2 linked regions of the Oryzias latipes genome follow. The protein of the gene in region 2 interacts with the protein of the main gene of each other region in a biochemical or structural test. Links are inferred from orthologs where the notes say so. Each region holds a gene or a part of one and is shown on either strand. Other genes may lie near its edges. The genes, in order: endophilin-A1 and E3 ubiquitin-protein ligase Itchy.

Region 1 (4,434 bases), on a different chromosome or scaffold from region 2:
TGAAGATTTCGTTTTTGCTCTTATAACAAATATCTGACCCTGAAAGTAGTTTTATCTCAGTCACAACCAAACTGCTGGAAACGAGTGTAAAGTGACAGAAATCCATCAAATTTAGCTTCATGGAGTTTGTCATCAACCTTTAGTTTAGCCTTTGGTAGAGTTTTCAATGTAAAATACAGATTTCTTGAACTGCACAAAGTCAGGTTGTTTGTTTTCTTTAACCGGTGAGTTCAGGAAACCACACGGTTCTGCTCAGAGACGCCGTCAGACCCAGAAAACCCGTCCGATCCACATCACATCAGTTCTGCTTCTTCTGATGCAGTTAAAGAACTTTATTGAACCGACCCGAGTCGTATTCAGCTGCTCCTAATGTTCACCAACAAGGTTTTGTGCCCAACTGTTGTTGATCAATCTAAGGCCATACTCACCAATACCCATGATGCAACTGGGTATGGCTGAAGCCACCCAACATGACCGCTAAAAGCTGTAGTTTGACACCGTTGGGGACTCTAGTGTGCTACAGAACCGCTAGGTACTACAGAACTGCAAAGTACCGTACCACACCGAGAACCAATGTGTCTGTGATGTTGATAACAAAACTCGTTCAGACTCAACGGAAACAAAACTGGAAACTGCTAAACAACCAGCAGGGATACGCCTGAAACATGACAAACATGTCCCGTCTACACGTCTAGAGAACTGAAGGTCCTTCCATCATGTATTGATAGATAGTAAACCGTCAGACAGAATACTGAATCCCACGTGTTCACTACGACCTGTCTGCCGTAGAAAAACACATGCATGAACACGTTCTCTCTATGGTTCACCGAGCGGTGTAGGATCTTGATATTTCCCATCATGCCACAGCAGAACCTTTAATGTTTTCTGGTAGAACTCAGTGAAACAAACATTTAGACGGACGGACGGATTCCAGTCCGTGTCTCCCTCAGGTTCTGTCTGAGCTTTCAGGACGTCTCTGCTCTTTATTTCTCTCATTTCCTGCCGTCGTGACCCACTTCCCCCTCAGGGATCAATAACTATCCTCTATTTCCAGGTGACAAATGAACAGCAGTTTGTCCAGATGACAGCGGGACAGACGGCAGGCTTGAGGGAGACGGATTCGTTTCTAACCCTCATCTTTCTCTGATGTGCTTTTCTGCTTTTTAATGAAACCAGAGAAGTTGTGAAAGTCCCAGAAGTGCAGGACAGCCTGAAATAAACGGCGTCTTCACCAATCTGGATCATCTCCAATGTTGCATCACTGTTGGAGCGGTTGGAGAATGGAGGTGAAGCTTGTTTCCCTCTGGAATTCATGAACTTCTTGAACTCAAACTGGATTCCAACGTCAGCGTTAAGATCTCCATCAACACTGCCGTTTCAAGATTTGCCCAAACTGGTCCCTACATCCGACACAAACTGTGGGACTGTTACCATAGAAACCAAGTGGACGGATCATTGCTGACGTCTCACGGATTGTCCCGAACGGCAAGAATCAAGCCTGAATTGGGACGAACAAATTAACCGGAACTTTCTCCTCCCAACGTTACAGCACTGGGTGATGGGGCGGGACAAAGGACAGCAGGAGTTTAGTTAACTCCACCCTCCTGCCAGTCAGTACAAACAACCCCCCCCCACCCCCACGAGATGTTTGAGCTTTCATAAAAACCCCCACAAACGAAAAGGTCCCAACATGAACACCCTGTTCTACCTGTTCAGTTTTTCTGTGAAGTTGGACTTTTAACATGGGAGTCAGTGGGAACGGCTCCCATTGGAAACCAACCCTAGTGGTCATTAGATGAACTGCAGCTTTAGGTACTCTGGGGGGGCTAACCGCCCTTTGAAGTGTCCACTCACTAGGACACGCCTCCACTTTGATCTCTGGCAACAGAGTCATGTGACACAGCGGAGGAATCTTCACCTTCATCAACAGGCAGCTCCCAACCTCATCTTCATCAACCTCTCTTCTTCCTCATCCGCTAGAGTAAACCTCCACCCATCCATCCAGCCTGCAGAGCAGAGAGGGGGGGCTCCGGGCCGAACGGATGGACAGATGGAGGGAAGGACTGGAGAGGGAGGACGGTGGAGGAGAGAGTCAATGAAAAAAACAAGATGATACAAAGAATGAATGGACAAACGGAAAGATGGAGGAGGACGTGAAGGAGGGATGCAGATGGAGAGATGTTGGAGGAATGACAAGAACAGAAAGCTGTAGGATGAATGAGAGGATGATGGGAGGAAGAACAGATGAAAGAGGAGAAGTTAGAAAACTGAGGTGGAGGTGAGGAAGAGGGGGTGTAGTGAAGTTTGGATGAGGAGCCAGGATGAAGGCATGCATGGGGGGAGAAGATGGAGGAGGATGGAGGGAATTCCCTGTTGCGTTCAGCAGCAGCCAATCAGCTCCGGACTTTACGGATTCTTACATAATATTATAACCGAGCCTCAGCGCCGGGGTTTGCCCGGTTCTGCTGCCCGGTTCCCCACTCCAAACATCACGAGAACATCCTGTAAAGAACCGAAACTGTGAACCGGACCGGATCAGTTTGGACCCAAACGTGACAGGAGGATCCACCTGCGTGGATTAAATCTGTTTTCAGCATAAAATGCGAGATTTGTGGGAATAAAACATGATTTGAAACAGAAATGTTGTGTTTTAAACTTCCGTTTAGATTCATTTAAAGGTTCAGAACAACAGAAATGTTTGTTTTTAGATTTTAAACATGGAAACAAAGGCTGAACCGGGTCAGAACGGGCTAAAGCGCTCACCTGGGTGGCTTTGTGGAACTGCTTTTTCAGCCCCGCGACAGACATCTTTCGGCTGCGGAGGAAGAAAAAAGAAAGAACTGACGGCGGAAAAATTTCACGGAGAACGGAGTCTGGAAGTGGACCGGTTCGACCCGGCGGAACTCGTCCGTAAATCCTCCGGTGATGCGCGTCGATAAGTGTCCGTTAGCGCTCGGTGGGACCCGGTGGGAGCGGAGCGGAGGACGGCCGGACCAAACCCAGCTGCTGGATCTATTTTCAGGCGCACGAGCGAGGCGGAGGGCGGAGATCGTTGATGAGCGAGATGGATCACTCCAACGAATAAACCGAAATGATCCACGTCCCGTTTGTCCAGCTGTTTATTTTTTAAATATGCAATAAAATTTTGAGTTTTCCAATGAATAAATAGGATTATGCTTGTTCATTTTTTATTTATTTCAAAGACTTGTTTTAGGTAGTGTAATGTCTGAACTTGACATAAATTATAAAGAAATAAAACAAAAAAAGGAAAGAAATCCGTTTAACAATGTCCCATTGGCAAATGTTTAGATTAGATTAGATTAAATGACTTTATTTATCCCACCATGGGGCAGGAAAAACAATGTTCATAAATAACAGCAAAAGAAAGGACATCAAAACTGATATTCTCATTATAAATAAATACAGCTACGAAGGTGGCGTGTGATCCACTGCAAACGTGTGGTGCAATTTTTTGTTATATCCGAAAAATGTAAAAAGGTACACACCAATCAAACATCTGTTTAGGAATAAGAACATTTGAAAAACAACAACAACTACAACAAAATTACATAAATAAATTTAAAAAATGGTAAAAAAAAAATAGTTTACTGGGAAAGACTTCCAACAGCTTTTAAAGATTGTTAAAAAAAGATTTTTTTGTTGTTTTGAAATTAAGACCAATAAATTAATTAAAAACGTTTAACAAAGTTTATTTTAGCTTTTTTGAATTTGAATAATATTCTGTTTTGTGAACAAAAAATGTTTTTATTTCTTTTGATTAGAACTCTTCAAGAGTTTCTGTGGATAAAAAAAAAAATGTAAAACAATTTTACCAAAAATGTCACAGTTTGGTTTAATCCACATTATATAACTAACATCTACAGAGATTTTTGATAACTATGCAGGAAAAGACAAATTTCTCGTCAGTCAGACGTCTGTCTTCACAGATAGACGATCTTCAGAAGGGCGAGAGCGCAGGTCTGCTGTGACAGGAACGCGCCGCCCTCCACCGTCCACGAGCCGTCCTCGCACGCGCGACCCTCCTATGTGAAAGAGTTAATTCTACAGAATAATAATAAGATCACAGGTGGGGTCACGTGATCGAGCGTTTCTGCAGGCGTCTGAACTGTAACTGAACACACTGTAACTGAACAGACACCGACGCGGTTTCAGCACCACGGACAGCTCATTGGAGGGTCCGATGGCGCGTTTAAGGGCAGCTCGGACATTCAATTACTTTTTCACATGGACATTCCCCATTGATTTCTTTTTTTTTATTTTTTATTTTTTGTAAAGCCTAATATCAGTATTTCTACATCCTCCATATATTTGCATATGTTTTGATTTTTAAAAATGTGCTAATTTACCGGTTCAGTAAGCAAGAATTTCAACCAAACTATGTGCTTTAGTCTGTCTGATATCATTTTTGATATT
Region 2 (3,817 bases):
TGTTTAAGCTCGCATTTCCGGAACACAATTTCTCATCTTCTGTCAACTGATGAATCCAATTTATTTATTGTTTTTAACATGTTGTGATTTTATTGTTTTTTACCTCTAACTTTGTACGGTGACCTTGGGTGTTTTGAAAGGCGCTTTTAAATAAAATGTATTATTATTATTATTAAAAACGTGGATATCATAAAAGATGTAAGAATTTTATGAAAAATCGAGTAATCTTGAATTTCAGCTATAATCTGGAAGTCATTCATGCAGGAACGGATTTCAGGTTTTTAAGACGCGATCACGTCTGCAAAGAGGCGAACGCGTCTAGGTTTTATCAGCTGGAAAAGCCGCGGCCTCGTGGTTCAGATGATCGCATATCAGAAACAAACAGGTTTTCTTTTTCACTGCAGGAAACTGGTGCATGACTTCTGCGGTCTGGTGAACCACGCCCGCAGATAAAACACGTCCATTTGAGTGAACGCCACATTAGCTGGAAACCCAAACCTCTTTAGGTTAAAAAAAAAAAATCCTCTTCTTCATGTTTTGTGCAAATGCATTTCAATAAGATTACTACTCAGGATTGTGACATTGCCTGCAGATTGATGATCTGAAAACGCTGCTACTGATGGTACATCAAAAATGAGAGAGGAGGAGGAGCTACGGTTAAGAAATGACATTTTAATCCAGTTTTAGGATGAGTTCATTTTTCTTTTACTCTGCCCGTGATTTGCCGAACTCTCAGATTAAACGGGGAATGCGTCAAGATGATTTGCGTACAATGTTCCCCAAACAAACATGCATTTGTAGGTTTGGAATTTCTGTGTACGTTGGTACCAAAGACTGAGCTTAACTGTGCTTTAAAAGAACATCTACGTCTTTAAAAGCGGTCAGACGTACAGGGAGGATTTTCCAGTGCGAGGGTCGATGTAGGTGGTGCTTCTCCTGTTGTGGTCCACAAAGTAAGGAATGCCATCAACAGTGAACCTCATCTCCCATCCTTCAGGAAGAGGCTTTTCATTCAACAACCTGAGAAGTGACATCAGAACATCAACTTTCGTCCTTTTCAGGAGGCGGCGGGGGAATCTGTGAGCACATGCCTACCCCTGTGTTCGAGGGTCTTCCCACTGAGTAGAACGGGTAGGATGATGCAAAAAATAGACTCTGCCATTGGCGTCTGTTCTCTTCTCTGAAAGGAAAGCCAGTCAGTGACTTAACTATGGTTGACAGGTTGATGGGTTTGCAGGATGAGGTTTAAAGTCATTAGCGGTTTAAAAAAAAAAAACCCACATTGCGTTTTTGCTTGCTAAGAGTCAAATCAATAGTATTTCGATTTTCATTTTTTCAAAACTGCAGGAAATCCACTGTAGATGCAATTTCATTAGCTGGCAGGATATTTAAACTACATCAAACTGCATTCATTTGACTTTAATGTAAAGGAAAAATCCCAAAAAAACATTTAAATACAGAGTATATGGTTTATTAAGGTTCAATTAGGATGCTGCTATAAAACAAACCGAAACTAGTTTACACTAAACAAATTCAAGAGGAACCAAACTTGTAGCAAAGAGTAACATAAAAACTGCTCCATATAATTGTCCTGGTTTTGAAACTCGAAAAAGTCTCACCCCATCCAGCTGGTAGAGGTCCAAGAGGATCAAACTCCTTATTTTGAGCGGCTGCTGCCGGATCTTGTACCTGCACAGAGAATTATTATCAATAATCAAGTTCCATAACAAACATCACGGATTAGAACCCAAAGAGAACCAGAACAATTTGGTCTTGATCGACTTTGAGTCAAAAATAAATTGCAACACTAAATGATTAAAGCTTTTAGCCACACGTATGGGGGATTGACCCGTATGGCTGCTGCAGGTTTTTGGATTGTCCGGTCCATGGAGGGTCCTAGAGAGGAGCAGTCTTAAGGGAAGCGGTTCCCTTAAGGCTCGTACGGCCACCTCAAGGAACGTCATGAAAATGGAACGTACCATTGTGAATTGTGAAGCACTTGTTAGGCTAATGGACATTGCACGCACTTATGACATACAGGTGATTCTGTCGTACGGTAGTGATGAATGGATGGCACCCCTTGTAATTCACGAAAGTGCCAACCGTTTGAAAACTGATCATGAAGGAGATCGTAATTACGGTTTGTGCCCGGCTGGAAATAAATAAAACAGGGTCTTTCATACACTATGTAACCAAAAGCATTGGCTCACCTACCTGCCTTGACTCAAATATGAACTGAAACCATCCCATTCTTAACCCATAGAGTTCAATATGATGTGGATCCACCTTTTGCAGCCATCAATTGAATTCAACTTATTTTTTTTATGTAGCCCAATATTACAATAATAGTTGACTCTGACTGACAGAGGTGTTCTGTCGGGTTCAGGTCAGGACTCTGTGCAGGCCAGTCCAGTTCATCCACAGTAGACTCTGTCATCCATGTCTTCATGGACCTTGCTTTGTGCACTGGAGCACAGTCATGTTGGAAGAGGAAGGGGCCGCTTCAAACTGTTCCCTTAAGCTTGGGAGCATGGAGCTGTCCAAAATGTTTTGGTATCCTGAAGCATTCAGAGGTCCTTTCACTGGAACTAACGGGACAAGCACAAGTCCTGAACAACAACCCCCACACCATGATTCCTCCTCCACCAAATTATGTGGCTCGGTTGCAGCCGCTCGGCCGTGGAAACCCATTCCATGAAGCTCTCTGCATACTGTACTTGGACTAATCTGAAGGTCACATGAATTTTGAAGCTCTGTACAAATTGGCTGTGCAGAAGGTCAGCGACCTCTTTGCACTACGCGCTTCAGCATCCGCTGACCCCTCTCCATCAGTTTACGAGGTCGACCACTTGGTGGCTGAGTTGCTGTTGTTCCCAAACTCTTCCATGTTGTTCTGTTAGAGCTGACAGTTGACTGGAATATTTAGGAGCCAAGAAACATCAGTATCAGATTTGTTGCACAGGTGGCGTCCTATGACAGTTCCACGCTGGAATTCACTGAGCTCCTGAGAGCGGCCCATTCTTTCAAAAACGTTTGTAAAAACAGCCTGCATGCCTGATTAATTTCATACACCTGTGGCCAGGTCAAGTCTCAGGACCTGATTGTGATCATCTGGATGGGTGAGCCAATGCTGTTGGTAATAGTGTGTATACTGGAAAGAGTGTAAGAAAAAGCCTAAAGAGTAAGATTTGCCAGATTTTCCCCGCTTTAACATTTCGCACCAAGGCTCTTCCAGGTTTCCCTCGAAAAAGAGAATTGATCTCAATGAGACTTCCTGGTAAAATAAAGGGTAAATTCCAAATGTAGATTGCAGTAAACAGTAGAAAAAGAAGTAGCCCCTCCCTGCTTGTCCAGTGTGAACACCATGAGAACGTGTTCAAGAACCGGGGTTTATCGCGTGTCAAATGTCCAGACAGAATTTAGTTTTTGGCATTGGACAAAGACTTTTTTTTCCACTTGTCGAGTTCATATAAGAAAAAAGGTTTATGCACCATCCCATTGTCTACACAAAATATGTTATTCTCCTTTTAAGACAAAATATCCTGCATACTGTTTATAAAAAATAACGTGTACGCACACCACAGTCAGTGGCTTTCCTTTGACCCGCTGACACACGGCGTCTTACCCCGTAGATGAACCTTTGGTTGAACTGCTGCATGGCGCCCTGCAGCTGGCTGCGCTGGTGCTGCCACTGCTCGTAATTTCGCACCGTCTCCATTGTGGGACGCTGCCACGTGGTCGTCCGTGAGATGTGGTCAACAAAATAGACCCGCCCCATCTGGTCGACACGGCGCTCCCAGCTGGGGGAAAAAGAAAT

What was found.
Region 1: the proteins of E3 ubiquitin-protein ligase Itchy (region 2) and endophilin-A1 form a complex in vitro, tested with the Homo sapiens proteins (2 studies listed by BioGRID, with this or other methods). The link is inferred for Oryzias latipes from reciprocal best matches to the Homo sapiens genes ITCH and SH3GL2.

The regions. Positions count from the first base shown.
Region 1 is NC_019876.2:2,702,406-2,706,839, reverse strand, and holds the start of endophilin-A1, read right to left. Parts: upstream 3,087-4,434; 5' UTR 2,809-3,086; coding exon 2,764-2,808; intron 1-2,763. UniProt on the Homo sapiens protein: Implicated in synaptic vesicle endocytosis. May recruit other proteins to membranes with high curvature. Required for BDNF-dependent dendrite outgrowth.
Region 2 is NC_019865.2:2,019,981-2,023,797, forward strand, and holds part of E3 ubiquitin-protein ligase Itchy, read right to left. Parts: intron 3,801-3,817; coding exon 3,626-3,800; intron 1,690-3,625; coding exon 1,620-1,689; intron 1,181-1,619; coding exon 1,096-1,180; intron 1,021-1,095; coding exon 892-1,020; intron 1-891. UniProt on the Homo sapiens protein: Acts as an Acts as an E3 ubiquitin-protein ligase which accepts ubiquitin from an E2 ubiquitin-conjugating enzyme in the form of a thioester and then directly transfers the ubiquitin to targeted substrates.